Rattus norvegicus: one gene and its partners. The protein of the gene in region 5 purifies or fractionates together with the protein of the main gene of each other region. This does not show direct contact. Links are inferred from orthologs where the notes say so. Each region holds a gene or a part of one and is shown on either strand. Other genes may lie near its edges. The genes, in order: Kpna1, Mta2, Zfp219, Sin3a, Chd3, Bcl11b and Smarcc2.

Region 1 (3,500 bases), on a different chromosome or scaffold from region 5:
CCAGCTAAGGTTATAAAAGGCCATTAATAGTCAATAAAAACTTTAAATCAACCTAACACATGGGTTCATTGGAAAATGTAATTTAGTAAGAAGTAAAGTCAATCTATAGCATATAGTTAGTTCATCAAAACATTTTGAAGGGCTGGGGATTTAGCTCAGTGGTAGAGCGCTTGCTTCGGTCCCCAGCTCTGAAAAATAGAAAAGTAAAAAAAAAAAAAAAAAAACCATTTTGAAAACATAAATACTTTTTTTGGATCTTCCATAAATTAAAGAGGAAATGTATGGCTAAGCAAAAATATCAAAAGACAAAAGACTATCATCAGGATACAGAAAAATCAGACTGAAAAAGTAACACTGGAGGTTGACAGTTCTACGGGAAATGCTTACAGTCTGTATATTAAAGGCTGACCAAAACAATTTTACTTATAATTAAAGATTTAAAAAAAAAAAGAGGCTGGAAGGATGGCTCAGCTGTTACTACTCTTTCATAGGATCTAAGTTCAGTTTCTAGCACCCACAGATGGCTTAAAACTGACTGTAATTCCAGTTTTGGGAGATGCAATCCCCACTTCTGGTCCCCAACAGCATCACATGCACATGATGCACATACGTTAAGGCAAGCACATACACACATAAAAGTAAATAGAATATCTTGACAATGCACCTTTCACACAGGGAGAGAAGGGAGGGTACGACAGCATTACCTGGATCTGTGCCCTATTTCCAGCTGTAATATTAGAGATTGTCCAACATGCTTCTTTTTTGATAGATTCCTTTGGGCTACTCAGCAGATGCAATAAACTCTGAAGAGCTGAGCAATTCAAAATTACCTAAAAGGGGGAAAAAAAAAAAGAGTCTTAAATTTTTTTTTGTTTTGTTTTTGTTTTCGTAGCTGGGGACCGAACCCAGGCCACTGAGCTAAATCCCCAACCCCTTTAAGTTTTAATTATGGCATCGTTCTCAATATATCATTTGGTTTTGGATTTTTGTTGTATTTTTTTGTTTCTTGAGACAGGGTCCTATGTAGCAGAGTGGCCTCAAACTCAATGCCTAATGTAAGAAGATCTTGAAATCCCAGATCTTCCAGTATCTACTTCCCCAGGAGTTAATAAGTACATCTTTAATTCAACAAACTCGTTTTAAGAAACATGTAGGAGGAGAGAAACCCTCCTCTAAAATTTTAAAAGGTAACTTTATATAATACATAAAGTATCTTTAACTTGCATTTACTCATGTATGTATACAGACTTGGGTAAACCACAGTACATATGAAAATCAGAGAAAAGTTTGAAGCAGTTGATTCTCTCCTTCCATCATGGGTCCGAGGAATCACGCTCAGGTCAGTAGGCTTGGTGGCCTTTATCATTTGAGCCAAATTACCAACCCAATAAAAAAATCAGTACTAGCCTGAAATACATTCTAAGATTATTAAACTGGTTTCATTGTATACATTCACAACCACCAGGACATTTGTGGTGGAACACACAATGGTAACCAAGCACTTGGGAGGTAAACATAGGAAGATCTTGAATTTGAGGATAACTTGATCTTTATAGTCAACTGGCTCTCCAAGAAATAAGCAAAAAACTAAAAAGAAATAAAACAAAATACAATATAATACATCTACAATGATGTATTTAAAAACTCTAAGAGGCACTAAAGAAAGGGCTCAACAGTTAGAGTACTTGTTGCTCTTGCAGAGAGGACCCAGCCTCAATTGTGGTTTATAACCAGGCACAAGTCCAGTTCCAGAGATCTGATGCTTTCCTTTCTGGTCCTCAGAGGAACCAAGCTTACATATAGTACACATACATATGTGCACACAAAGCACACAGAATAGAATGAATTAAGTCTTTTCTAAAACAACTAAAAAATAGGGGCCAGGTGTGTTGACACATACTATAATAATCCTAGCACTTGGAAGACAGAGTTGGATTTCTACTGGGTTTAAACCCAGTATAGAGAGAATTATTATAATAGGGCCAGCAAGGGAAACATTGTAAAACACTGTCTCTACTGAAAAGAAAAGGGGTAGGGAAACTTTGCTGAGGCCTTTGGTGCTAAATAATGATATTCTAACCCTTTGGGGCTGACTTTCTAGAGGTTGAAGAGGGTTTGACCTCTGGAATCTTTCTACCTTATACTCAATAATCCAATACAAACTGAAGTCTACAGGATACTAAGAGTTAAAAACCAAAGCAAACCTAAACAAAAAGCCAATACCTTAAAACAGCTTTCAAAAGCAAAGGAATCAGATTATATCAGAAACTAAAACAGATAAAATCATTAAAATGGTAGGTAGGTGAAGAGTTCAAGAATCCATCACTGTACAACTGAATAGGCTCTATTCCAGAAAGAGGCAAGTATTTATAAAGAAATAGAAAATAACTGGTAATTTAATGGTTTTACTTACTACACAAGTAAAATAGCCCAAATGGATGGAACACATTCTTTTTTAAAAAATAAAAATAAAAACCCTACCCACAAAATCGCCAGGAAAAACAAAACAAATCAGCACATTTCAGGCCGGTCTGGAGGTGCTAAAAGCCTTTTCAGACACACAGACATTAAAATGACAGGCAAAAAAATTAACATTTATCTAAGAAAAACTGCTACATGTCAAAAATCCTAAAATTAAAATGTATACCATATCAGATGAAAAACTATTTGTAACATGGACTGGCCATACAGTCCAGAGAGTAAGTGCATTTGCTGGCAATCGGCCCGATGACCTGAATTCAGTCTCAATGACCCATATAGTAGGAAAAAACAGACTCTCATTACATTCTCCTCTCACTACCATGTGACATATACAGATATCACACCAACACACGCACACAGAAACACAAAACAGATGCAAAAAAAGTACAACAAATAATTTATCATAGTTAAATAAATTAAAAAGAAAAACCTAAAATAGAAAATTTCTTCACTAATATGAATAAAAGTTAAAACAAAGCCATGCATTTCCTATTCAATGTATCAACTAAAACAATAAAACTTACAGCTAAAAGTGTTCTTTCATTTACAAAAAGAAAAGAATCTAGTAGTAGTGGTGTGTAGGATGATGTCATTACACAGCAAGGCAGATCCAGCCTATCGCTGGATGAGAAGGACAGGTTGGTGGAGAAAAGTCTAGGAAGGAGAGAGGAGGAGGAGGGGTGGGGGGAGAAGAGACCAAGATGGAGTCTACCATGGAGGATGGTTCAGATTTAGGTGAATTAGATGGATTTTATCTTGTCTAGGTAGGTAGTTTATATCTTTATCAATTGGCACTGAATTTACTGTGTGGATGAATTATGAATTGACAATTTAACATGTAAACATAATTGTTAACCTGCAAGTTTCTGGAACTTTGATTTTACCAGGCTAAAGAGGACAGTGTGTGAAAGACATGGCTAAGAAGCAGCTGGACGAGCAGTTGGAGCGAGCGGATCTGGTTCTGTTGCCTGCACAGAATGAGAATGTGCAGGGTCTGCAGAATGAGGTGGGTGTGTATA
Region 2 (3,112 bases), on a different chromosome or scaffold from region 5:
GACTTCTTCCATGGAGACTGTCAAATGGGCAGGAGCACTTGCTAAGTATTGGGACGCCAGGAAGGTCGGCAGGGGTTTCAGTGAAGAGGTCAGGTAGGAAGTTTGCTGTCTGCAGGTGATGGAGGACAGAGCTGCAGTGTTGATTTGCCTTTTCTCTTCTTTATGTATCATTCCTCCAGGAGCCACACTCAAGAGGTCATTTATCCAGACCTGAAGCCCAAAGTCTCTCCCCCTATACAACCAGTGCTAACCGGGCTAAGTTGCTGGCTAAGAACAGGCAAACTTTCTTGCTCCAGACCACAAAGCTGACTCGTCTTGCTAGACGGATGTGCAGAGACCTGTTACAGCCAAGGAGGGCTGCCCGAAGACCCTATGCCCCCATCAATGCCAACGCCATCAAGGCAGAGTGTAAGGACTGCGTGCTAGTGCAGAGGCTTTGATCTGCCATGTCTGATGGTGTATGCTTAGAACATAAGCCCTCAGGCTGAGACAGGATATAGCTACCTCAGTCCCTGTTAGACCAGGCTATGTAATGGCTCCGGCCTAGCCTGGATTAAATAGTAGGACCCAATCTTAAGAAACAAGGCTAGGCATTGTTACACATGCCGGTAACCAAGCAGTGGAGAAGTGGAGTCAGCAGGATGATAAGCAAGTTCTAGGCTGGGACTTCACTGCAGAACCATTTCAAAAACCCAAAACAAAGCTGCAGAATGCCCAGAGGCTCTTCTCTCTTCTCCAGGCTCTATCCGACTTCCTAAGGCTGCCAAGACACCGTTGAAGATTCACCCCCTGGCGAGACTGCCCTTGGCAGCTATTGTCAAAGATCTGGGTAGGAGATGGGAACTACACTCAATCCAGGGTGGGTGGAAGGTTGCCAGCTAAGAGTCTTTTCTTCCTCAGAGTTTTCCTTTCACACTGAGTCCACATAAACTGTGTGTGTGTGTGTGTGTGTGTGTGTGTGTTCTCTTATTATGGTGCTTCTTGTGATAATTGGTTTTTGGTGGTGGTGCTGTAGATCAAAACCCAGAACCTCATGTATTCTGGTCAAGTATTTACCATTGAGCTCCATCTCTGGCATAGTAGTGGCTTTACATAAGTATTTTCTGATCTGAAACATGTTTTTTAAAATTTGATTAAGTAGCTTGATAGACCTTTTTCTCCATTACTAATCTTTAGGCCATTAGGGTAAACAACTGGTCAGGGTAGAGAGGGAAGAAAGAATGGTAATGAGAAGGTCTTGTTCTATTTCATCTCCCTTCTTCCTCTGCTGATAGTGGCTCAGGCACCTCTGAAACCAAAAACACCTCGGGGCACCAAGACACCAATCAACAGAAACCAGCTGACCCAGAATCGAGGCCTGGGGGGCATTATGGTGAAACGTTCCTATGAGACTGTGAGTGACAGTGGACTGGGAAGGCTGAATGGGGTGGGCTTTTATTTCTAGTAGGAGTCTAAGGAAGGTAGCTCCTTCATGTACACCATGTCCTTTTCCAGATGGCAGGGGCAGGGGTTCCCTTCTCTGCCAATGGAAGGCCTCTGGCTTCAGGGATTCGTTCAAGCTCACAGCCAGCAGCCAAGCGTCAGAAACTAAACCCTGCTGATGCTCCCAATCCAGTGGTATTTGTGGCCACAAAGGATACCAGGTAGGGAGGGAGTCCACCATGGGAGGGGCTGAGAGGCTGACGATCAAGTTGGCGGGCATTGGAAGTTGTAGGAGTGTCTGAGAAAGAGAGGTGCACAGCAGAATGAGGCGAGGGTAGAACTGTAGAGTGCATTGTGGAGTTTTATCTGGTTGAGTCTTGCTGCTCCTCAAGCCTCCCTGTTTCTGTCTTGCTCTTTTTGGCCAGGGCTTTAAGGAAAGCTCTAACTCACCTGGAAATGCGCCGAGCTGCTCGAAGGCCCAACTTACCCCTGAAGGTGAAGACAGCGCTGATGACAGTGCGGCCCCCAGTTCCTCTGCCGGCATCTTCACATCCTGCTAGCACCAATGAGCCCATTGTCCTGGAGGATTGAGCATCTTAGGGGAAGGGAGGTGGGATGAGAGGTAAAGGGTTGGTTGCCCAGGGCATACAAATCTTCATTCCTTTTGGTATCAAAGGGAGTAAGGAGTGAGGGAGGGTTGGAGTTGGTGTGCGTGTGTCCTTGCAGGGGTTGAACACCCTCTGGTGTTACTGCCAGTATCTCCCCTTTTTGGGCTTCTCCATGCCTGTGATGGAAAACAGCCTATAGGAACTTACTTGTGTGTACCTACCCTATTTGGGGCCTGGGACCCACAGTGGGTTTGGACAGTTGGGGGGAGGGTTTTTTAATTTTTTTAAAAATTTACCTTCCTTTGTAAAAGGATGGAGGAAGGGAAGAGTAAACATATCAGGTGTTGGTCCCTGGCAGGGGGAAGGGGGAGTACACTGCCATGTCTCTTTTCTTTATTTTCTATTGGGGATGGGGGGGTTACTCTTACTGTCCGGTGTCCGGACTTTCCTTATTGGAGTTTGAGGGCCCTAAGCTGGCATCAACCCCAGCCCATGCTCACTCTTCTTCCCTCCCCTTTCTCCCTCTGCCTTTTATATGCCAATTCTCAGAAATAAAGATCTTTTGTCTGTTTTTTAACCTCAGATTCTGTAATTGGTTCTTATAGTGACGAATAAAAAGCTCTTTTCTTCAGCTCCTCCAGGCTCAGCTGTTTTCTGCTGCTGCTGTGTGTGTGTGTGTGTGTGTGTGTGTGTGTGTGTGTGTGTGTGTGTGTGTGAGAGAGAGAGAGAGAGAGAGAGAGAGTGTGTGTGTGTGTGTGTGAGAGAGTGTGTGTGTTGTGAGAGTGTGTGTGTGTGTTGGGGGTATCTTTGAGGGGAAATAGAGGACAAAGGACATTGAAAGAGGTACAGATGGTGCTTGTTCTAGGAACAGCTTTACGAGATAAGCAGTGGGACTGGAGGTAGTCTGTGCCAGCTAGCCTTCTTGTGGGACTAAAGCTTCTCCCATTGGGGCTGGAGTGCAAGCAGTATCTTGATCTGGATTCATTCAAAGCTCTCTAATGGCTCTGAGTCTCCACAGAAAGGTGTGAGAATGTCTTCCTGTTACCCACTTCTCCCTTTTGATGCTGGGGAGTTGATCCCAG
Region 3 (4,009 bases), on a different chromosome or scaffold from region 5:
TTGAGTCCTCTTTGTTTTTCTTAGTAACCCATTTCAGTTTCATAAATCTCATTGTAAGGAAGTTCTTTATCGAGTATTATGTCTGAGGTTTAAAAAAAAGAAGCTAGGCCCAAGTTCATCTAGCCTGAACAAGATACAGTTCAATATGGAAGAAGGAAGGTAGATAGGATGACTTCTGGTCATCCATCCACTGAAGCCTGAATTCCATGACCTTGCCAGCAGTTAAACAGCGGGAAAACCTCCATTACCATCCTCTTCCTCAACTCTCTTCTTCTCAGCCCTGTGCAGCGCTGGTCGGGGACAGGGAATTTTAGATGGAGAATTTTAACCCCTTCCTGCTCAGAGCTTGTGTGGATCCCCTATCTGTGCAGATGGCAAGGCCCCGCCCCCCATCCCTCACTCCAGCCTCTTGAGCTCAGAGCCAGTGTAATCCTCCTCTTGTGTGAGGAAGCCTCTCCCCTGCAGAGAGGAGGAAAGCCAGCTTCGGAACAGCTCTGGACAAAGGGGCTGAGATGCCCCGTCAAACCACAGGCTCCAAGGTTTGAAACGGGGTGAAACCTAAATGGGATTTGCAGTTTTTAACCCCTTCCCTAGGCCGGTAGTGCTCCTTAACTTCCAGGCCTCCCCCAACTCTTCATTCCCTCTGTAGCTGGCTCTCCCTTCATGCCCCTCCCCCTCTGTCTCCAGACTCTGCTGCTGGGAGGTGTTTCTCTCCCATGCATGAATGAGTCTCTGTAATGAATGGAAATGAATGGATCAGGAATCCAGGAAGGGGGAGGGGGAGGAGGAAAGACCAGAAGACTGGGTGCCGGCAGAAGCGAGGAGGAGGAACCTGGAGGGATTCTGGCTGGCTGGCCCTGGGTCTGAGAGGAGCTAGTACCGTTTGGATAACAGGAGTATGGCTAGCTCTCCACATTTGTTTATCCAGGGGCACAGCCCAACGCGAGTGGAAGAGGGGTATACTATGATGCCCTCCCACATTGTGTGTGTGTGTGTGTGTGTGTGCGTGTGCGTGTGCGTGTGTGTGTGTGTGTGTGTGTGTGTGTGTGTTTGTAGTGATGGTGGTTCTGGACTAGGTGTTGAAAACATCATTTGGGGGAGGAAGTCTGGATTCATCATACAAGTTGGCAGATCAAGGGATGCAAGTTTTGATATAGCAAGTAGGAAGCATGTGATACCTCAGGATCACAGTAGAAAGCAGGGATGGGCTTCAAGAATACAGGCTGCTAAGTGGGGTGACTTTACTGCTGAAAGCCAGGGCTCATCGTTCCTCCAATCACTCTGTCTTGTTTTAGCACCTCCGCACCTGTTGCCTTCATTAGCAGCTTTTCTTCCTCCTCCTTCCAATCCTCAGAACCAAAGAATGTGAAGGGGGTCCATGGAGGTGAGTGAAGTTCTTCCTTGACCTGCAAAGTACCTCCAACGGTACACCCTCTCCTGCCTCCTATTTTTTTTAAACTTCCTATTATTGTAACACACGTTATTATTATTAATTTGGCCCCAGTGTCTAACTTCCACTCATCCCACAGTTTCTGGAGGTGAGAGGCACCAGTGTACCTAGGTCCGGCCTCAACCTCCTAACTTACATACACACTCTTCTGTTCTTCGTGCCCTTGATGCCTTTGCGTTTTCTACAAGTCGGTCCTTTCCACCCTTTCCACCCTGTCCTCTACGTGCCTCTTTCCCCACAGGGCTCACGTCCCCGCATCCTGGTCGGCCACCTAGAGCCTTCCCCACCAGCCTTCGACGGCGAGCTGGATCTTCAGCGCTACTCCAACGGACCAGGTGTCAGCGGGACCCCAGGACCCGGCTCTCCTGGGATGGGAGCAGTGGGCTGGTCTGAGACTCGTGCAGGCGAACGGCGCTTCCCCTGTCCTGTGTGCGGAAAGCGCTTCCGATTCAATTCTATCCTGGCATTGCACCTGAGAGCCCATCCGGGCGCCCAAGCCTTCCAGTGCCCACATTGCGGCCACCGCGCAGCTCAGCGGGCCCTGCTACGCTCTCATCTCCGAACGCACCAGCCGGAGCGTCCACGCAGTCCTGCTGCACGGCTGTTGCTGGAGTTGGAGGAACGCGCCCTGCTTCGTGAAGCCCGACTCGGGAGAGCCAGAAGCTCAGGGGGCATGCAGTCCAGCCCTGCCGCAGAGGGCCTGGCGCGCCCTCAGGTTCCTTCCTCATCTGCCTTCCGTTGTCCTTTCTGCAAAGGCAAGTTTCGCACCTCGGCGGAGCGGGAACGCCACCTGCATATCCTGCACAGGCCCTGGAAGTGCAGCTTGTGCAGTTTTGGCTCCAGCCAGGAGGAGGAGTTGCTGCACCACAGTCTGACGGCCCACGGGGCTTCCGAGCGCCCCCTGGCGGCTACTGCTACACCTGAACCCCAGCCTCCACCCCAGCAAGAACCCAGATCTGCCCTTGAGCCTGAGCCTGAGCCTGAACCTAGGCCAGAGCCTGAACGTGAGGCAAACCCTGCCCCAACTCCTGCGCCTCCGGAGGAGCCCCCCGCGCCACCTGAGTTCCGTTGCCAGGTGTGTGGCCAGAGCTTTACACAGTCCTGGTTTCTCAAGGGTCACATGCGCAAGCACAAGGCCTCCTTTGATCATGCGTGCCCCGTATGTGGTCGCTGCTTCAAGGAGCCCTGGTTCCTTAAGAACCACATGAAGGTGCACACCAGCAAGCTGGGTCCTTTGCGTGCTCCAGGCCCCGGCTCTGCGCCTGCCAGGGCCCCTCAGCCTCCTGACCTGAGCCTTCTGGCTTATGAGCCACTGGGTCCTGCGCTCCTCCTGGCCCCAGCACCCACTCCGGCTGAGCGCCGAGAGCCCCCGAGCCTCTTAGGCTACCTGAGTGTACGAGCTGGGGAAGTACGACCCAATGGTGAGGGTGCTGACCCTGGAGGTGGCCGAAGCTATGGAGGATTCCGCCCACTGCCTTCAGCTCTGCCCAACCGGGCCCGGCGACACCGTACAGAGGAACCAGAGGAGGAAGAAGAAGTGGTGGAAGCGGAAGAGGAGAGCTGGGCCCGAGGCAGGTCACTGGGCTCTCTGACTTCCCTACATCCCAACCCGGGTGAGGGGTCAGGACAGTCTGCACCTGCTGTGGGGGCCCAGGCAAGATCTACGGCCACCCAAGGTATGTACACACTATTTTCTCTGGGGATCGGTGGCATTTGATTCTTGAAACTTTGTCCAACACTCCTTTTCAGAAGACCTGCTTCGATTTCTCCTGAGCTTCTATCCTCCATCCCCGACCCCGCACCTCTCTTTCTCCTACTGGAAACTTTGTGGTTTCCTAAGGGTATTATCTCTTTAACAGATCTGTTTCCCCAAACCTCCTTCCTCTTGGGCCCAAAGGATGGTGGGTATAATGGCCGGGACAAGGCAGGGAGACCCTATAACTTCCTTTTATCGTGTTGCAGAAGAAAACGGGCTGCTGGTTGGAGGGACACGATCTGAAGCGGGCCGTGGGGCCACTGGCAAGGACTGCCCCTTCTGTGGGAAATCTTTCCGCTCGGCGCATCACCTCAAAGTGCATCTTCGCGTGCACACAGGTGAGGCCAGGCATTCTGCATAGGGGAGGGTCTAGGGGGAAGAGAGGTAAGAGCAACCAGAAGGCTGGAGGCCATGCTGGCCCCCTTTCAGGTTGGAAAGATCATCTAAATCACCTCGTGGGGAGTCAGCATTTACTCCTGGTCCTTGGGATGAAGTTTGTAAATTGAGCAAAATACCAGTGTAGGTGTGCGAGTGACAGTGACCCCATGACCTACTCTAACCCACTCTTCACAGGAGAGCGTCCCTACAAGTGTCCACACTGCGACTATGCAGGTACCCAGTCGGGCTCGCTCAAGTATCACCTTCAGCGTCACCACCGTGAGCAGAGGAGCAGTGCGGGTCCTGGGCCTCCCCCAGAGCCCCCGCCACCTTCCCAGCGGGGCTCACTGCAGCCGCAGTCAGGAGCCAAGCCCACTCAGGCCTCTGCTACCTGGGTAGAGGGCACTGCAAGTACCCGGCCTACT
Region 4 (3,500 bases), on a different chromosome or scaffold from region 5:
GTACAGGTGCTCAGGGAGGCCAAAGAGTTTGGATTCCCTGGCATTGGAGTTAGAGATGCTCCTGAGTTGCCTAATGGTTGATATGAACTAACTCAGGTCCTCTGCAAGGGCAGTATGCACTTTCAATTACCAAGCCATCTCTCCAGCCCCCGAAGTCTAATTTCTTGACTTATTTCTCAGTGATGTTGCAGTACAATTAACACAAGTACTTGACATAGATTATAGATTGTACAAGTACTGAGTGAATGGCGTGTGTAAGTCATACATGAGGTTGCAGTGTACATATCGCATGGCCTGTTTTCACTTAGTATGTTTTCAGCTGACAATGAGCACTGGTTTTTATAGTTGTTCAGTTCCCACAGCATGGATGTAGCTCAGTTGGCCAGAGCCTAGCACTCAGCTTTTCCTACTCTGCTGTAGCAGCTAGACTTGGCAGGAGTGTAGGTCAGAGACCTAGGAGTGGATTGGGTAAATTAAAGAGAGTGCACATTTTAAATTTTCATAGACTACCTGACAACAAAATATCCTATGCTTTTGTTTTGGTTTGGTTTGGTTTGGTTCTTTTGAGACAGGGTTTCTTTGTACAGCTCAGGCTGGCCTCAAACTTACAGAACTCTGCCTCCATGTACTGGGATTAAAGGCCTGAGCCTTCACCAGCCGACTTAAAACTCTTATCTTTTAAGAACTTCTAAGCCAATGAGATGGCTCAACAAGTAAAGCTCTTTCTCACACAGGCCTGACAACCTGAGTTCAATCTGAATCCAAGTGAAAAGCAGGGCAGGGTAGTGTGTGTTTGTGGTCCTAGAACTCCTGAAAGATAGGAGCTGGAGACAGGATAGTCTCCTGGAAGCTCATAAACCAGCCAGCCTACTGTAAGCTTTGATGCAGCAAAACCGTACCTTAGTGAGGTGGAATACAAGAACTTAGCCCCAATGTACTTGAGTCATGATGCCCTTGAACCAGAGTGACAGTCTGGGTGTGAGCTACCATGTGTATGCTGAGAATTGAGCCCTAGTTCTTTAGAAGAGCAGCCGGTGCTCTTAACCACCAAGCTAAGCCATCTCTCCAAAACCATTACAGATAGTTGTGAGCCACCAGATGGTTGCTGGGAATTGAACTCAGGACCTCTGGAAGAGCAGACAGTACTCTTAACCACTGAACCATCTCTCAAGCCCCTTTACCTTTTTTTTTTTTTCCTGGAGCTGGGGACCAAACCCAGGGCCTTGCGCATGCTAGGCAAGCGCTCTACCACTGAGCTAAATCCCCAACCCCTACCTTTTTTTTAAAATAACATTTTCCTATAAACTGGCTTATGGAATAGCATTTGAACATTACAAAATCACATAAAACGGGACTAAAGCTATAAAATTTCAATTGAGAGTTTGGTTAGAATACAGTGCCTAATAAATGTTCTAATTTTTTCATGGTCCTGTGCTGTGTTCTTCATGTATATTTGATTTATCATTTATAAAAACTGGTTTCTTATTAGAGATTAATCTTAGAAGATTAACATGGGTTTCATTTGTTTTGTGTTTTTGAGATGGGAATTCTTTCTCTGTGTGGCCTGTCTGTCCTGGAACTCATTCTGTAGACCAGGCTGGCTTCATATCAAAACTCAGATCTGCCTGCTTCTGCCTCCTGAGTTCTGGACTTAACGGGACTCCCACTGCCTGATTACATCTAGGTTTTAAACCACTAAAAATTAAATCTAGAAGCAGCAGTCAAAAGTTAAGGACTTTGTAGGCCATCCCTTTATAAGACCTGGTTTCTCATTCCAAAATAGAGATACTATATGTGTATGATGAGTTTGTGTGTGTTGGAGGCTGTGTTGACATTTGCACATAAGTGTGGCTTCTGCAGAAGCTAGATCTCCTGTAGGAGAGGTTTCAGGGAGTTGTAACATAAGAGGTGTGGGTGTTGAGATTGGAACTTTAGCTTTCATGGTTGAGCAGTAAGCACTTGATCACTGAAGCATCTCTCCGACCCCTTTGTATTTATATAGTTCTTCTGTATACAAACAAGCATAAGTATGTATGTGTACCAGGGCAAGCGTGTGAATGTCAGAGGACAGTTACAGCTGCCTCCTCTTCTCCATGATGTTAATTTCAGGGATTGAACTCAGGCTGTCAAACTTGGCAGCAAGCACCTTTACTCACTAAGCAGTATTGCTTCCAAATATTCCTTCTTCGCTGCGCTGTATTATGTTTGGGTTAATGATGCTGATGCTGGAAATGCTTACAAAAAAACCTCAAGTGGGTTTCTGAGTAAAGTGGTGCTAAACTGTGTATTCTTTCAAGAGAATGTCTCCTGTTACGCTGAAGAGACTTCTTGTATGTAAAGGATGTGAGAAAGGTCCAGAAGGAAACTTGGAAGTCATCTATTCTCTCTTTCTCTCATCTGTTCTCTCATTCTCATTTTTAGTTCAAGGTTCTAAAAATTACATGAAATAAACTTTTTAAAATGTACATTTTCTTTAAGGTAACCTCATGCTCCTGGCATATCTTACCTCTCTATGACAGTTTCAGGTTGTTATGACAATAGGTATTTATGAACTTAAACTACCTAATAACTAGCCCCACTTTGTTCACTATAGCAAGCATCCTCTGACCCAGTACTGAGTTTTCAGAGTGCTTTTGCAGCATGTGAGTATGTAACCAGTATTAACTCTAACAGTGTCTCAGGAGCTACCTTACACTGCTGTTATACTTCTGTGAAGAAACACTATGAGCAGGGCAACTTGGAGAGGAAAGACATCTTTTGAACTGGGACTTACTTAGAGTTCATGGGGTTAGTCCATTGAGGTCATGGCCAGGAGTACAGAAGCAGGGACAGTGCCGAATAGTAGTTGAGAGCTTAAATGTTGAGACAACCAAGAGGCTGAGAGAGAAGGGGGTTAAGGGGCTAACTGGGAATGGTGTGGACTTTTTGAAATTCCGTGACACTATCCAACAAGGCCACACCTAATTCTTCCTAAACAGTCCCTCAACTAGGAACCAAACATTCAAATATATGACCTAGGGAGCCATTGTCATTGAAACCATCACAGAATACTATAACTAGAATAGGAGAGTTTAAAGTTGTTTGCATTTTTTAATTGTAGGATTTTTTTCAACTTAGTGTTACCAAATTGATTACAATTCTGTTCCTTAACCTTCTGTCTTTCAGTTCTAACTTGTTCACTGTAAGGTGTGGGTCATTCATTCAGAGCTTGACTCTAAGATGAGGTAGCTTAGTTCCGAAAGTCAGACTTAGATTAAATTTGGGCAACTGGTCCTAAGTTATGAACATCATCCTGGAATGAAATTTTATTTATGTTATCATTTTGTGGTTTGTACAGGTTTGTAGTGCATCTCTGAGCATGAGTGCAGAATGAAGCGACGTTTGGATGACCAGGAATCACCAGTGTATGCAGCCCAGCAGCGAAGGATTCCTGGAAGCACAGAGGCTTTTTCTCACCAGCACCGGGTTCTTGCCCCGGCCCCTCCTGTGTATGAAGCAGT
Region 5 (3,500 bases):
GATCCCATTACAGATGGTCGTGAGCCACCATGTGGGTGCTGGGAATTGAACTTAGGACCTCTGGAAGAGCAGCCAGTTCTCTTAACTGCTGAGCCATCTCTCCAGCCCCAGAACCCTTTCTTAAGCCACAGTAAAAACAAATCATGCACCGAGAGCAATGGGCGTGAGTTGTGGGACTCTGAAAGCAGAGACTCATGCGAATGCCCCGGGTAGGAGTGTCGTTTTACACAGCAGTTTCGGTGCCCTGGATACACATGCTGAAGTTTAACACAACAGTTTAGTGCCCTACTTTCATCTCGGGCAAGTTACTTAATTTCGTAGGTGCTCGGTTTTCTTTTTTTTGTTTGTTTTTTTTTTTTTTTTTTGGTTCTTTTTTTTTTTCGGAGCTGGGGACCGAACCCAGGGCCTTGCGCTTCCTAGGCAAGCGCTCTGCCACTGAGCCAAATCCCCAACCCCGGTGCTCGGTTTTCTTACCTGTAAACTAGAAATGCATGCTTGGTAGGAGCCTGTGTGGGTTTGATGGGAGGCTGAATGCATAGCCCAGTGATGTTGCTACCTCGCCTCGGGGGTATTTGGTAACTGTCTTTGGAAATGTCTTACCTACACACCTGCTACATAGCCTGTTTGTCAGCACTGAGAATCATAGATATCCTAATAAGAGCTGACCACGCCCCCTAGAGGAAAACACGATGTCTGTGTCTTTCTAACTATCCTGAGGGAAACTGCCTTCAGGTTCCCATAACTGAATAAAACGCAGAAAATCAAGGCAAGCATGCCATTGTGAGGGTGGGACTTGACAGGATAGATTTTCCTCTTAACTTATTTTTACTTAGCTCATTACTTAAATTAATATTTTTCTTAATAGGACATATTTTTCCCACCCAGGAATGTTAGCATAGACTTAATTGATACAGGAGATGGCAGTATTCCCAGACCATCTGTGAAAAGTCTGAGTTTTCTGCTTCTATATTTTCAGGCCCTTAATTGCTAAGAAGAATCCTAAGATCCCGATGTCGAAGATGATGACCATCCTGGGGGCCAAGTGGAGAGAGTTCAGCGCCAATAACCCCTTCAAAGGGTCAGCAGCTGCTGTGGCGGCAGCGGCAGCGGCAGCAGCAGCAGCTGTAGCTGAGCAGGTGTCAGCTGCTGTCTCCTCAGCCACCCCCATAGCACCATCTGGACCCCCCCCTGCCCTTCCACCACCCCCTGCTCCTGAAATCCAGCCCCCACCCATCAGAAGAGCCAAAACCAAAGAGGGCAAAGGTAGGACCCTTCTTCTTCCGACCTCTGTACCCTGCTTTCCAAACTGCATGGCTTCATGACTCTATAACCCATGCTTTCCCACCATGGTTGCTGGGGAAGAAAATGCTTCCTGGGACGGGGAAAGTAACACCCAGCCTAGAGCTCCCTGTGGCTCCTATTCTAGCAGGAAGTGTCATGGCCTGTGGACCTTCTCCCCTCCACATTCCCACGCAGGTCCAGGCCACAAGAGGCGGGGTAAGAGCGCCCGAGCCCCCGATGGGCGCAAGAAGCTTCGAGGAAAGAAGATGGCACCACTCAAAATCAAGCTAGGGCTGCTGGGGGGCAGGAGGAGGAAGGCGGGCTCGGTAAGCAACCCTCCCCATCTGCTCAGCACCTGTCTGTCAAGGGCTGAATTCCATGGACAGTCCCTGAGGGGAGCTGGGGTGGGGACCCACAGTCTGGGGACGGTGCGTGGTGGTGGGTAGAACCCAGGATGCCTCACTCATGGCAGCGGGGCTCTGGGCAGTGTGTTTTTCAGGGTGATGAGGGCCCTGAACCAGAGGCTGAGGAGTCAGACCTGGACAGTGGTAGTGTTCATAGTGCCTCAGGCCGGCCTGATGGTCCTGTCCGTGCCAAGAAACTGAAGCGAGGCCGGCCAGGAAGGAAGAAGAAGAAGGGTGAGGAGGTCACCATGTGTGAGCCTCTCTGTGACTTATTCCTTTGTTGTTTTTCTTACTTCAGATATTGACCTCTATTCAAACCTTCTGTGTGTCTTTCCCTGAATCCCTTTCTTTTTTCTCTGTTCCCTCTGTCCTGACTGGGGTATGTGACAGTCCTGGGCTGTCCTACAGTGACCGGGGAGGAGGAAGTTGATGGCTATGAGACGGATCACCAGGATTACTGTGAGGTGTGCCAGCAGGGCGGGGAAATTATTCTGTGTGACACCTGCCCCCGTGCCTACCACCTCGTCTGCCTTGACCCTGAGCTTGATCGAGCTCCTGAGGGCAAATGGAGCTGCCCCCACTGTGTGAGTACCTGGTGCCTTCATGGTCCCACCTATCTCTTTCCTTCTTGCTTTCTGCTATGGTTTCCCAGGCCTCTCAGCACTACTCAGAGTCCAGAATCCTAATTGGGTCCTTTCCTTCAACCCCTTATTCCCAGAGTCACTAACTTTGGAAAGTCAGAGTATCTTGTTTGATAGGCTCCGTGAGACTTTTATACACGTCTAGGACTCAATCATCTTGGTTTTCCTGTCTCTCCTTCTCTTCTGTCTATGTCTGTCTGCGCCTGACCTCCTAGGAGAAGGAAGGGGTACAGTGGGAGGCCAAGGAAGAAGAGGAAGACTATGAGGAGGAAGGGGAGGAAGGAGAGAAGGAGGAAGAGGATGACCACATGGAGTACTGCCGAGTGTGCAAGGACGGCGGGGAGCTCCTGTGCTGTGACGCCTGCATCTCTTCCTACCACATCCACTGTCTGAACCCCCCACTGCCCGACATCCCCAATGGTGAATGGCTGTGCCCTCGATGCACGGTAAGTAGAACCTCATCCTCACAGCGCCCACCATCCAAGCGCCACCTTTCAGCCATTTCTGAGGCCGCGCAGCTCTTCCTTCCTTAGCCCCTACCCCTTGTCCTACCTAACACGGGGTTCTGTTCACCCCTTTCTTTCCTCTTTCTCTTACACGCCCATCCTGAAGTGTCCTGTGCTAAAGGGCCGTGTTCAGAAGATCTTGCACTGGCGATGGGGGGAGCCACCTGTGGCAGTGCCGGCCCCGCAGCAGGCAGACGGGGATCCAGACGCCCCACCCCCTCGTGTTCTTCAAGGCAGATCAGAGAGGGAGTTCTTTGTCAAGTGGGTGGGACTGTCCTACTGGCATTGCTCCTGGGCCAAGGAGCTTCAGGTACAAAGGCCTCTCCTTTCCCAGCACCTAAGATCCCACTCCCAGCCTCCTGCTCTCTCCTGGCCCTCCGTTCCCTAGGGATCCAGCTCCTTTGCCTTCTTTGGATTTAGAGGTCGTTTCTTCTCCCTTCCTCTGTGCCCCACCAGCTGGAAATCTTCCACTTGGTAATGTACCGAAACTATCAACGGAAAAATGACATGGACGAGCCCCCACCGCTGGACTATGGATCTGGTGAGGACGATGGGAAGAGTGATAAGCGGAAGGTGAAGGACCCGCACTACGCAGAGATGGAGGAGAAGTACTACCGTTTCGGCATCAAGCCAGAGTGGATGACTGTGCACCGCATTATTAACCATAG
Region 6 (3,500 bases), on a different chromosome or scaffold from region 5:
TCATTAATCCGCTCGAGATCCTACAAGAAGCTGCGATGGTGCCTGCATCCTTCCCCCACATACCTGGATACATATGGGTCTGTTTGGACTGGCTTAGACTGCGAAAGGAAGCGTCTTTTAAAAGAAAGTGTGAAATTGTATGGTGCACATTGTTACTGTGCCCGTGTGTGCACGATGAACTGTGGCACACGGTGGCGCTCAGGACAATTTTGTGGGTTAGTCTCCCACCTCCTCCTTTATGTGGGTCCTGGGGATAAACCCTCAACTTCTGAACCATCTCACAGGCCCACATCTTCTGTTCATTCTGGGAACAGAAACCAAGTCCCCATGCCCACTAGGAAAGCACTCCCAATGATGAACCCCCATCTCAGAGGGCTTTTTAAAGAAGTGTTCTGAAGAGGCTTGTAGGGTGTCTTCCCTGCTGGAGCAGGCTCTGTGCTGTGAGGAGACCTGGTGAGGAGAGGAGAGACAGTCCCAGGTCTGGAAACAAATGACCGTTGTGAGTAAGGATGGTAGTGGCCACATTTACTAGGTGGCTGGCTCTGTCTGCGCAGTGCCCCGACAGACCCCTGGGGCTGGCATCTCTGTGAGCTACCTCAGGAGCTGTCTGTTTTAGCTCCAAGGCCAGCATCCCTTCCACTGGAAGGTGGAGGTTGGGAGGCACCGGCCGTCCTCACCTTGGATTCCCTTGTAAATGGAGATGTGCATATTGTGAAACTTTTAGTTCGTTCCATTTGGGGCTTTGGATTTATGTGCAATGTGGTGTAGCCGTCACTACTGTTTAATTGGTCACGCCCTCCGAAGACCACATAACCCATTAGTTCTCCACCGCCCCCAGCCCCTGGTAATTACTACTTGGTTTCCTGATATTTGGCTGCCCGGGAGCTCACGGTGGCGTTATAGCATGGTGGCTTTTCATTCAGCTTTTGGGGGAGCTGGATCCAGGTCCCACTGTGTGCAAAGCTCAGACGGAGGTCAGCGGTGCCTAGAAGGGGTTGCTATAGGGACCCCACACCCTCCTGCCCTTGGAGCAGTAGACATTAGTGAGGCTATCATACCTGATGAGGGCCTGTGGCCACCTGTCTAGCCAGTGTTACCACCTGGTATGGGTGTGTGGCTTCATCGTGACAGACTCTGGTTCAGCCCCAGGGACCTCCTTCCAGAAGGCTGTGGAGTCAACGCTATGCTATTTCCCTTTTGCTCCTTGGCCATTCTTTCTGTCAGCGTCGACTCTGAGGAGCTCCCGTGGGCATTCTCAGCCGTGATCCGTGGTGCTAGCTGAGTTATGGCCCTTTGTAGAGCCAGAAGCCTTTTCCTTTCACTAATGGATGGGCTGAGGTCCAGGCTTCTCTGTTTTCTTCCATCCCCATGTGGCCCTTGGCTTCAGGATACCGGGTACCCTGGTCACTTTACTCCAAAGCAACCATAGCGGTAGGAACGGGCTTTGCGCATGTCCCAGCGTGCTTTCTCTTGGGTCTCAGTTTCTCCCTGTGGAGTGGGAGGTGGTCCTCTCTGTTCCTAATGGTGCCTATCTTACCCTTGGTGCAAATTCACTGTGATGGCTTTCAGTGACCCTAACTCTCTGGTTTAAAAGGAAGACCCCCCCCACCCCCCACCCCCACACAGGGACTCACGGCCATTCGTGGACAGGGTCAAGTACAGTGTCTTGATGCAGAGGGCTTTGAGGCAAACACTGGCCTCCCATGGGAGCCAGGTAAGTCTGGCCTCAGATCGTACTTGCTTGAGGCCCATAGGAAAACTCTGGCTTTTTGCTCTTGGCCCTTTGGGGGTTATGTGCCAGGGCAGAGACAACTGTGCCTTGTACGAGTATGTCACTGCCTCAGCAGGGTCTGGCAGTGTCAATGCTGGGCGTAGGCCTCTTGGCTAGACATCTCAGTGCTCGAGCTCCAAGCTGGGCCCCTTCTCAAGTGCCCCAAGTACCTGGATCCTGTATTCACATGATCCTGTATTTACACGTAAGACATGGGATTTCGAGGAGGCTTGAAACTGCTGAGGTTGCCGATTCCTACAGTTCTGGCCTCTGTTGGGCTCTGTGCAATGGGCGTCCTACATCCTCATGTTCAGGGGCGTGGTAGAGACCCGATCTGGAGGCTCCCCGCTCTCCGAGGGCTTGTGTGGTTCTGTGGTGGCTACAGGGTAGGCAGATCCCACCTGTGCAGATCTGCAGGTGTCAGGAAGCGAAGCTCTGGCCTCCCTTGAAGAGCTGGTGAGGCTTAGCTGTCCAGGATCTTGTTGGTGTTTTGGGTTTGGTTTTCTTTCTTTTTTTTTTTCTCTCGTCTCTCTGATGCTTCTCTGCTCAATTATTTACTCAGGGAATTTGGGCTTCTTCACTTGTGGTTTTGGCAAGGGCTTCACACAAATGTTTTGCCCTGGTGGTCTCCTAACCAATGTAAGATAAATGGCCAAATCAAACCCAGGCCTTGCTGGCAGTGGAGGCTCCATGTGGGGCGGGGTGGAGGCAAGGCAGCACCCTCGCCGCCCCTGTTCATTGCTGTCACTGGCTGTCCGATGAGGGAGTGGGGACTCCCAGGGTGAAGACCATGGGCCATGCTAGGTTTTCTTGTGGTAAGGGAGGGAGGAGGAGCTCAGGGCACCTTGTGAGCTTCTGGGGCTTGGGTGCCACTTGTCAGAGTCCAGCAAGCCCCAGGCAGTCAGCTAGGCAGGAGGCTCATTAGCGCCCAGACTCTTGGAGGTAGACTTGAGGTGGCGCAGGCCTGTCCGGAGAACCTACACCGACATAGTTTCTTGCCTCTTTCAAGGAGGGGTGGCTCATATTTTGAGAGAACAAACCGCCAAGCGAAGCCCACTCCAGTTCGTTCTGAAAGACTCTTGTAGGGAACCTTTACTGGGAGTGGGGCCCTGACAGGCCTTCTATGCTAGGCTCCCTGCACTAGGGACCCCCAAGGCAGGCCCCCTCCAGAAACTATCTGGCAGCTGCAGGTGTAGTCCCTGCTTATAGCCTTTGTGCACCCCTTCTCCCTTGCCCCTGGACCGCAGTTGCCGCTGGTGTCCTCGGGACCGAACCCTCTCTGAGGCTGCCTTTCTGTAGCCCAGTGACCCTGGCCCCCTCTTGTGCCCCGAGCTCCTTGTACAGTCCAGGGCCCAACTGACCAGTGTTTTCTATTGTTTTTTCTCCAGGGCCGTGCAGGCCTGCCCAGCTGCCATCGATGGCCCCCATAGCTGCCTCCTCTTCCCACCCTCCCACCTCCGTGATTACTTCACCTCTGCGTGCCCTGGGCGTTCTCCCACCCTGTTTCCCGCTGCCTTGCTGTGGTGCACGCCCCATCTCGGGCGACGGGACTCAGGGTGAGGGTCAGATGGAGGCTCCCTTTGGATGCCAGTGTGAGTTGTCAGGTAACAGAGTCGCTGCGGTGGGGGAGGTGGGCTCCCGGGATGGCGGGCTGTGCCCCGGGCCGAGCCGGGGACCCAAGGTGGGAACCCAAGGGGGGGTGTGCCCCCCCCACTTAAAAAGCTTTTTT
Region 7 (3,500 bases), on a different chromosome or scaffold from region 5:
TAAATTATACTGCCAAAACCTCACTTTAGGACCATTTTAAAACATATGCAAGGGCTGGAGGGATGGCTCAATGGTTAAGAGCACTGATTGCTGGTAGAGCACTTGCCTAGCAAGCGCAAGGCCCTGGGTTCGGTCCCCAGCTCCGAAAAAAAAAAAAAAAAAAAAAAAGAGCACTGATTGCTCTTCCAGAGGCCCTGAGTTCAGTTCCCAGCAACCACATGGTGGCTCACAACCATCTATCATGGGATCTGATGGCCTCTTCTGGTGAGTCTGAGGACAGCTACAGTGTAGTCATGTACATAAAATAAATAAATAAATCTTTAAAAAATGCAAACATTATGATTAAAAAAGGGAGTGGGGTGGGGACTAGACTGCTGGCTCAGTGGTTAGGAGCAATGGCTGCTTTTTCAGGTTTGCTTTCCAGTTCCACACAGTGGTTCACAACCGCCTAATTCCAGGACCCTTGCACCCAGCACCCTCTTTTGGCTTCTGCAGGCACTGCATGCAGATGGTGTACAAGCATACATTCTGACAAACACTCACACACAGAGAAATAACTCAAAAAAAATCAAAAAATAAAAATCTACCACGGTGGTAGCACACACCTTTTAACCCAGCACTTGGTGGGCAGAGGCAGGCAGATCTGAGTTCAGGGCCACCCTGTCTACATAGCAAATCCCAGAACAACCAGGACTGCACAGAGAAACCCTGAATCAAAAAAGAAAGAAAAAAAAAGGAAAAGAAAATGAAACTGTAAAAATGTTAAGACGACATTTTAAACAGAGCTGGGAGTCTGGAGAGGTGGCTGAGCAATCAGAGTGCTTGCTGTCCCCAGAGAGCCCTCTAGCTCCAGAGGACCTGGATCTGGTCCCCTCTTTTAGGCTCAGAATCTCCTCTGGACGGCAGGCACTGTTTGCTGACTGTGAGTCTGTCCAGTATGAGGAGTGCTCTTGAGGGGACTGCACTACAGTACTGGTTTGTAGTCTGTCCCCTGTCCGCCAGCCTCACATATCAAGAGATGTATGTGAGTGGGGTTGGGAAGCTGTTTTCTCCTGAGCATTGTGTATGAAATTAAGGGAGAAAAGTCTCCTCTGCTTTACAGCATTGAAAATTAGGCTAGGGGTGCAGCTTACAGTGAACACTGCCTAGCAGGTGTAGAGTCCTGCATTCTGTCCCCCAGCCTTTCAGACAGTTTTAAATCTTCTTTAAATATTTAGGCTAGACATGGTGACACATGATTTTAAATCCCAGCACTTAGAAGGCAGAGGCAGGAAGAACTCTGTAAGCTATTAGAGGCTAGTCTGGTCTACATCACAAGTTCCAGGACAGCCAGGTTCCATACAGAGACCTTGTATTCAACAATTAATTAATTAAGATCTGACTGGAAATGGTGGTAAACACCTTTAATCCCAGTACCCAGAAAGCAGAGGCAGGTGAATCTCTGTGAATGTAAGGCCAGCCTGGTCTACATAGTGAGTTTCAAGACAGCTGTTGATTGCTACATAGTGAGACTTTGTCTCAAGAAAACCCAAAACAACAATATTATTAATTAAGATCTACTCATTTAAGTAGGCCTGGTGTCATAGTATAGGCTATAATCTCAGTGATTGCATGACTGAGGCAGGAGGATGTAAATAGTACAGAATCTGCCTGGGCTTCAGAATGACTCCTGAGGCCGGTAGCATAACTCACAATAAGAAGGAAAGCCAAGTGTGCTGCCTCACACCTGCCGTCTGACTGCTGGCCCGGCCCTCGGCAGGCTGGCTGCTTCAGTCTGTGTCTCTTCTTCTTAAAAGATACTAAGTAAAGAAGTAAATAAGGGGGTGGGCATTCAGCTCAGTGGTAGAGCACTTGCCTAGCAAGCGCAAGGCCCTGGGTTCGGTCACCAGCTCCAAAAAAAAAAAAAAAAAAAAAGTAAATAAATTTTAGTTATGGATGTATTTCATGTAAAATGATGTTTATCTGCCTGTAAGATTTGTTAGCATTGGATTCCATGAAACTACACTTACAGATGGTTGTGAGCCACCATATGGTTGCTGTGAATTGAACTCAGGACCTCTGGAAGAACAGCCAGTGCTTTTAACCTCTCAACCTTCTCTCTAGCTTGAGACTGTTTGAAAAAGGCAAAACCAAAATAAAGAGTTTAGGAAGGGAAGACCAGAAGAAAGTGCTGGGAGCCTGGCTTGGTGGGGTACTCACCTGTAAGCTCAGCAGCTCTCAGGAGCAGGTGCAGAGAGCCAGGCCGCTCTTCGTAAGTTAAGAGGCCTGGAACACATGAGACCCCCAAGCCCCAAAAGAAGGCTTGGTGCTGGGACTGTGACTCTGGTAGACACTTAGACGTATGTGCGTGAGGCCTGGGTTCAGTTGCCAGGAGTAACCAAGGGCTGGTATCTGACTACTTACCTGGTATGAGCTCATCCTTCAATTAGAAGACTGTACAGGGAAACAGATAGGGGACAGAGCAGCCAGAAAAGAATGGCCCTTAGGATGCTGAGGCTGGGGAGTCATGGAACTGCACACACAGATGAGAAAGCTAAAGGAAGCCATTGGTTGCATAAGGCAGTAAAATAGAAAACATGTTTGAAAGTTTTTTTGAGAAAGCAAGATATGTGAAACTATTAACAGCTGAGAAGTGAGAGCTTGATTTTGGCCAACATGTCTAATGCAGTGGCTTTTTCTCCCGACAGTCAACACTAAAAAGGACTCCGAGTCAGCACCAGTCAAAGGCGGCACCATGACTGACCTGGGTGAGACAGGGAGGGAGACCTTAGCAGGCAGTGCCTGAGGCATGGAGCGCTCAGCCTACCTTCCCCCAGCCCTCTGCCTTTGCTGACCCTGTGCTCCTTCCTGCCTGACACTCGGCTTCTTCCCTTTCCAGATGAACAGGACGACGAAAGCATGGAGACCACGGGCAAGGTGCAGCTGGTTTAGACAGGCTGTCTCTGTGTGTCTCTGTGATGTGTTTACAGGGCTCCACCTCTCCTTCTGCCCAGCCTCCCCACCCCCGGCCTAGGTGCCCATCCTCATCTCCCTCCCCGCTTCGGTGGCATCCTGTTCCTGGCTACCGGAGGAGCTGAGGGTTGCTAGGGGATGGGAATGCTGAGTATCCAGCAGCCTCCATACTTCTAGGATGAGGACGAGAACAGCACCGGCAACAAAGGGGAGCAGACCAAGAGCGCGGACCTGCACGAGGACAACGTGACAGAGCAGACACACCACATCATCGTCCCCAGCTATGCTGCCTGGTTTGACTACAACAGGTGCTACCCTACGCACCCTCCTCCTCCCCTTGCTGATCAGTGGGCTGTTTCTCCTGTTGCCCCACAGCCAAGAGCTGCTAACTACCCACCCCTGGGGCCTTGTGAACCATTGTGATTTATCCTGCAGTGTCCATGCCATTGAGCGGAGGGCTCTTCCTGAGTTCTTCAACGGCAAGAACAAGTCCAAGACTCCAGAGATGTAAGATTTCAGTTTATGATTTTCTTTTCTTAATCTTTTTT

Evidence for each region.
Region 1: the proteins of Chd3 (region 5) and Kpna1 purify together in Homo sapiens (affinity purification with mass spectrometry; 3 studies listed by BioGRID and IntAct, with this or other methods). This does not show direct contact. The link is inferred for Rattus norvegicus from reciprocal best matches to the Homo sapiens genes CHD3 and KPNA1.
Region 2: the proteins of Chd3 (region 5) and Mta2 purify together in Homo sapiens (affinity purification with mass spectrometry; 8 studies listed by BioGRID and IntAct, with this or other methods). This does not show direct contact. The link is inferred for Rattus norvegicus from reciprocal best matches to the Homo sapiens genes CHD3 and MTA2.
Region 3: the proteins of Chd3 (region 5) and Zfp219 purify together in Homo sapiens (affinity purification with mass spectrometry; 3 studies listed by BioGRID and IntAct, counting the BioPlex papers as one, with this or other methods). This does not show direct contact. The link is inferred for Rattus norvegicus from reciprocal best matches to the Homo sapiens genes CHD3 and ZNF219.
Region 4: the proteins of Chd3 (region 5) and Sin3a purify together in Homo sapiens (affinity purification with western blotting; 3 studies listed by BioGRID, with this or other methods). This does not show direct contact. The link is inferred for Rattus norvegicus from reciprocal best matches to the Homo sapiens genes CHD3 and SIN3A.
Region 6: the proteins of Chd3 (region 5) and Bcl11b purify together in Homo sapiens (affinity purification with mass spectrometry; 3 studies listed by BioGRID and IntAct, with this or other methods). This does not show direct contact. The link is inferred for Rattus norvegicus from reciprocal best matches to the Homo sapiens genes CHD3 and BCL11B.
Region 7: the proteins of Chd3 (region 5) and Smarcc2 fractionate together in Homo sapiens (co-fractionation; 3 studies listed by BioGRID, with this or other methods). This does not show direct contact. The link is inferred for Rattus norvegicus from reciprocal best matches to the Homo sapiens genes CHD3 and SMARCC2.

Annotation. Positions count from the first base shown.
Region 1 is NC_086029.1:78,231,632-78,235,131, forward strand, and holds part of Kpna1 (importin subunit alpha-5), read right to left. Parts: intron 831-3,500; coding exon 705-830; intron 1-704. UniProt on the Homo sapiens protein: Functions in nuclear protein import as an adapter protein for nuclear receptor KPNB1. Binds specifically and directly to substrates containing either a simple or bipartite NLS motif.
Region 2 is NC_086019.1:215,273,397-215,276,508, forward strand, and holds the end of Mta2 (metastasis-associated protein MTA2), read left to right. Parts: intron 1-179; coding exon 180-408; intron 409-739; coding exon 740-829; intron 830-1,274; coding exon 1,275-1,393; intron 1,394-1,494; coding exon 1,495-1,643; intron 1,644-1,847; coding exon 1,848-2,013; 3' UTR 2,014-2,612; downstream 2,613-3,112. UniProt on the Homo sapiens protein: May function as a transcriptional coregulator. Acts as a component of the histone deacetylase NuRD complex which participates in the remodeling of chromatin.
Region 3 is NC_086033.1:27,170,169-27,174,177, reverse strand, and holds the start of Zfp219 (zinc finger protein 219), read left to right. Parts: upstream 1-1,209; 5' UTR 1,210-1,378; coding exon 1,379-1,384; intron 1,385-1,691; coding exon 1,692-3,126; intron 3,127-3,412; coding exon 3,413-3,544; intron 3,545-3,779; coding exon 3,780-4,009. UniProt on the Homo sapiens protein: Transcriptional regulator. Recognizes and binds 2 copies of the core DNA sequence motif 5'-GGGGG-3'. Binds to the HMGN1 promoter and may repress HMGN1 expression. Regulates SNCA expression in primary cortical neurons.
Region 4 is NC_086026.1:66,388,283-66,391,782, forward strand, and holds part of Sin3a (paired amphipathic helix protein Sin3a), read left to right. Parts: intron 1-3,337; 5' UTR 3,338-3,369; coding exon 3,370-3,500. UniProt on the Homo sapiens protein: Acts as a transcriptional repressor. Corepressor for REST. Interacts with MXI1 to repress MYC responsive genes and antagonize MYC oncogenic activities. Also interacts with MXD1-MAX heterodimers to repress transcription by tethering SIN3A to DNA.
Region 5 is NC_086028.1:54,578,811-54,582,310, reverse strand, and holds part of Chd3 (chromodomain-helicase-DNA-binding protein 3), read left to right. Parts: intron 1-976; coding exon 977-1,263; intron 1,264-1,476; coding exon 1,477-1,607; intron 1,608-1,768; coding exon 1,769-1,919; coding exon of another isoform or gene 1,920-1,937; intron 1,938-2,075; coding exon 2,076-2,269; intron 2,270-2,541; coding exon 2,542-2,772; intron 2,773-2,938; coding exon 2,939-3,142; intron 3,143-3,288; coding exon 3,289-3,500.
Region 6 is NC_086024.1:132,653,103-132,656,602, reverse strand, and holds part of Bcl11b (B-cell lymphoma/leukemia 11B), read left to right. Parts: intron 1-3,159; coding exon 3,160-3,363; coding exon of another isoform or gene 3,364-3,375; intron 3,376-3,500. UniProt on the Homo sapiens protein: Key regulator of both differentiation and survival of T-lymphocytes during thymocyte development in mammals.
Region 7 is NC_086025.1:1,476,503-1,480,002, forward strand, and holds part of Smarcc2 (SWI/SNF related, matrix associated, actin dependent regulator of chromatin, subfamily c, member 2), read left to right. Parts: intron 1-2,687; coding exon 2,688-2,747; intron 2,748-2,878; coding exon 2,879-2,916; intron 2,917-3,129; coding exon 3,130-3,260; intron 3,261-3,387; coding exon 3,388-3,459; intron 3,460-3,500. UniProt on the Homo sapiens protein: Involved in transcriptional activation and repression of select genes by chromatin remodeling (alteration of DNA-nucleosome topology).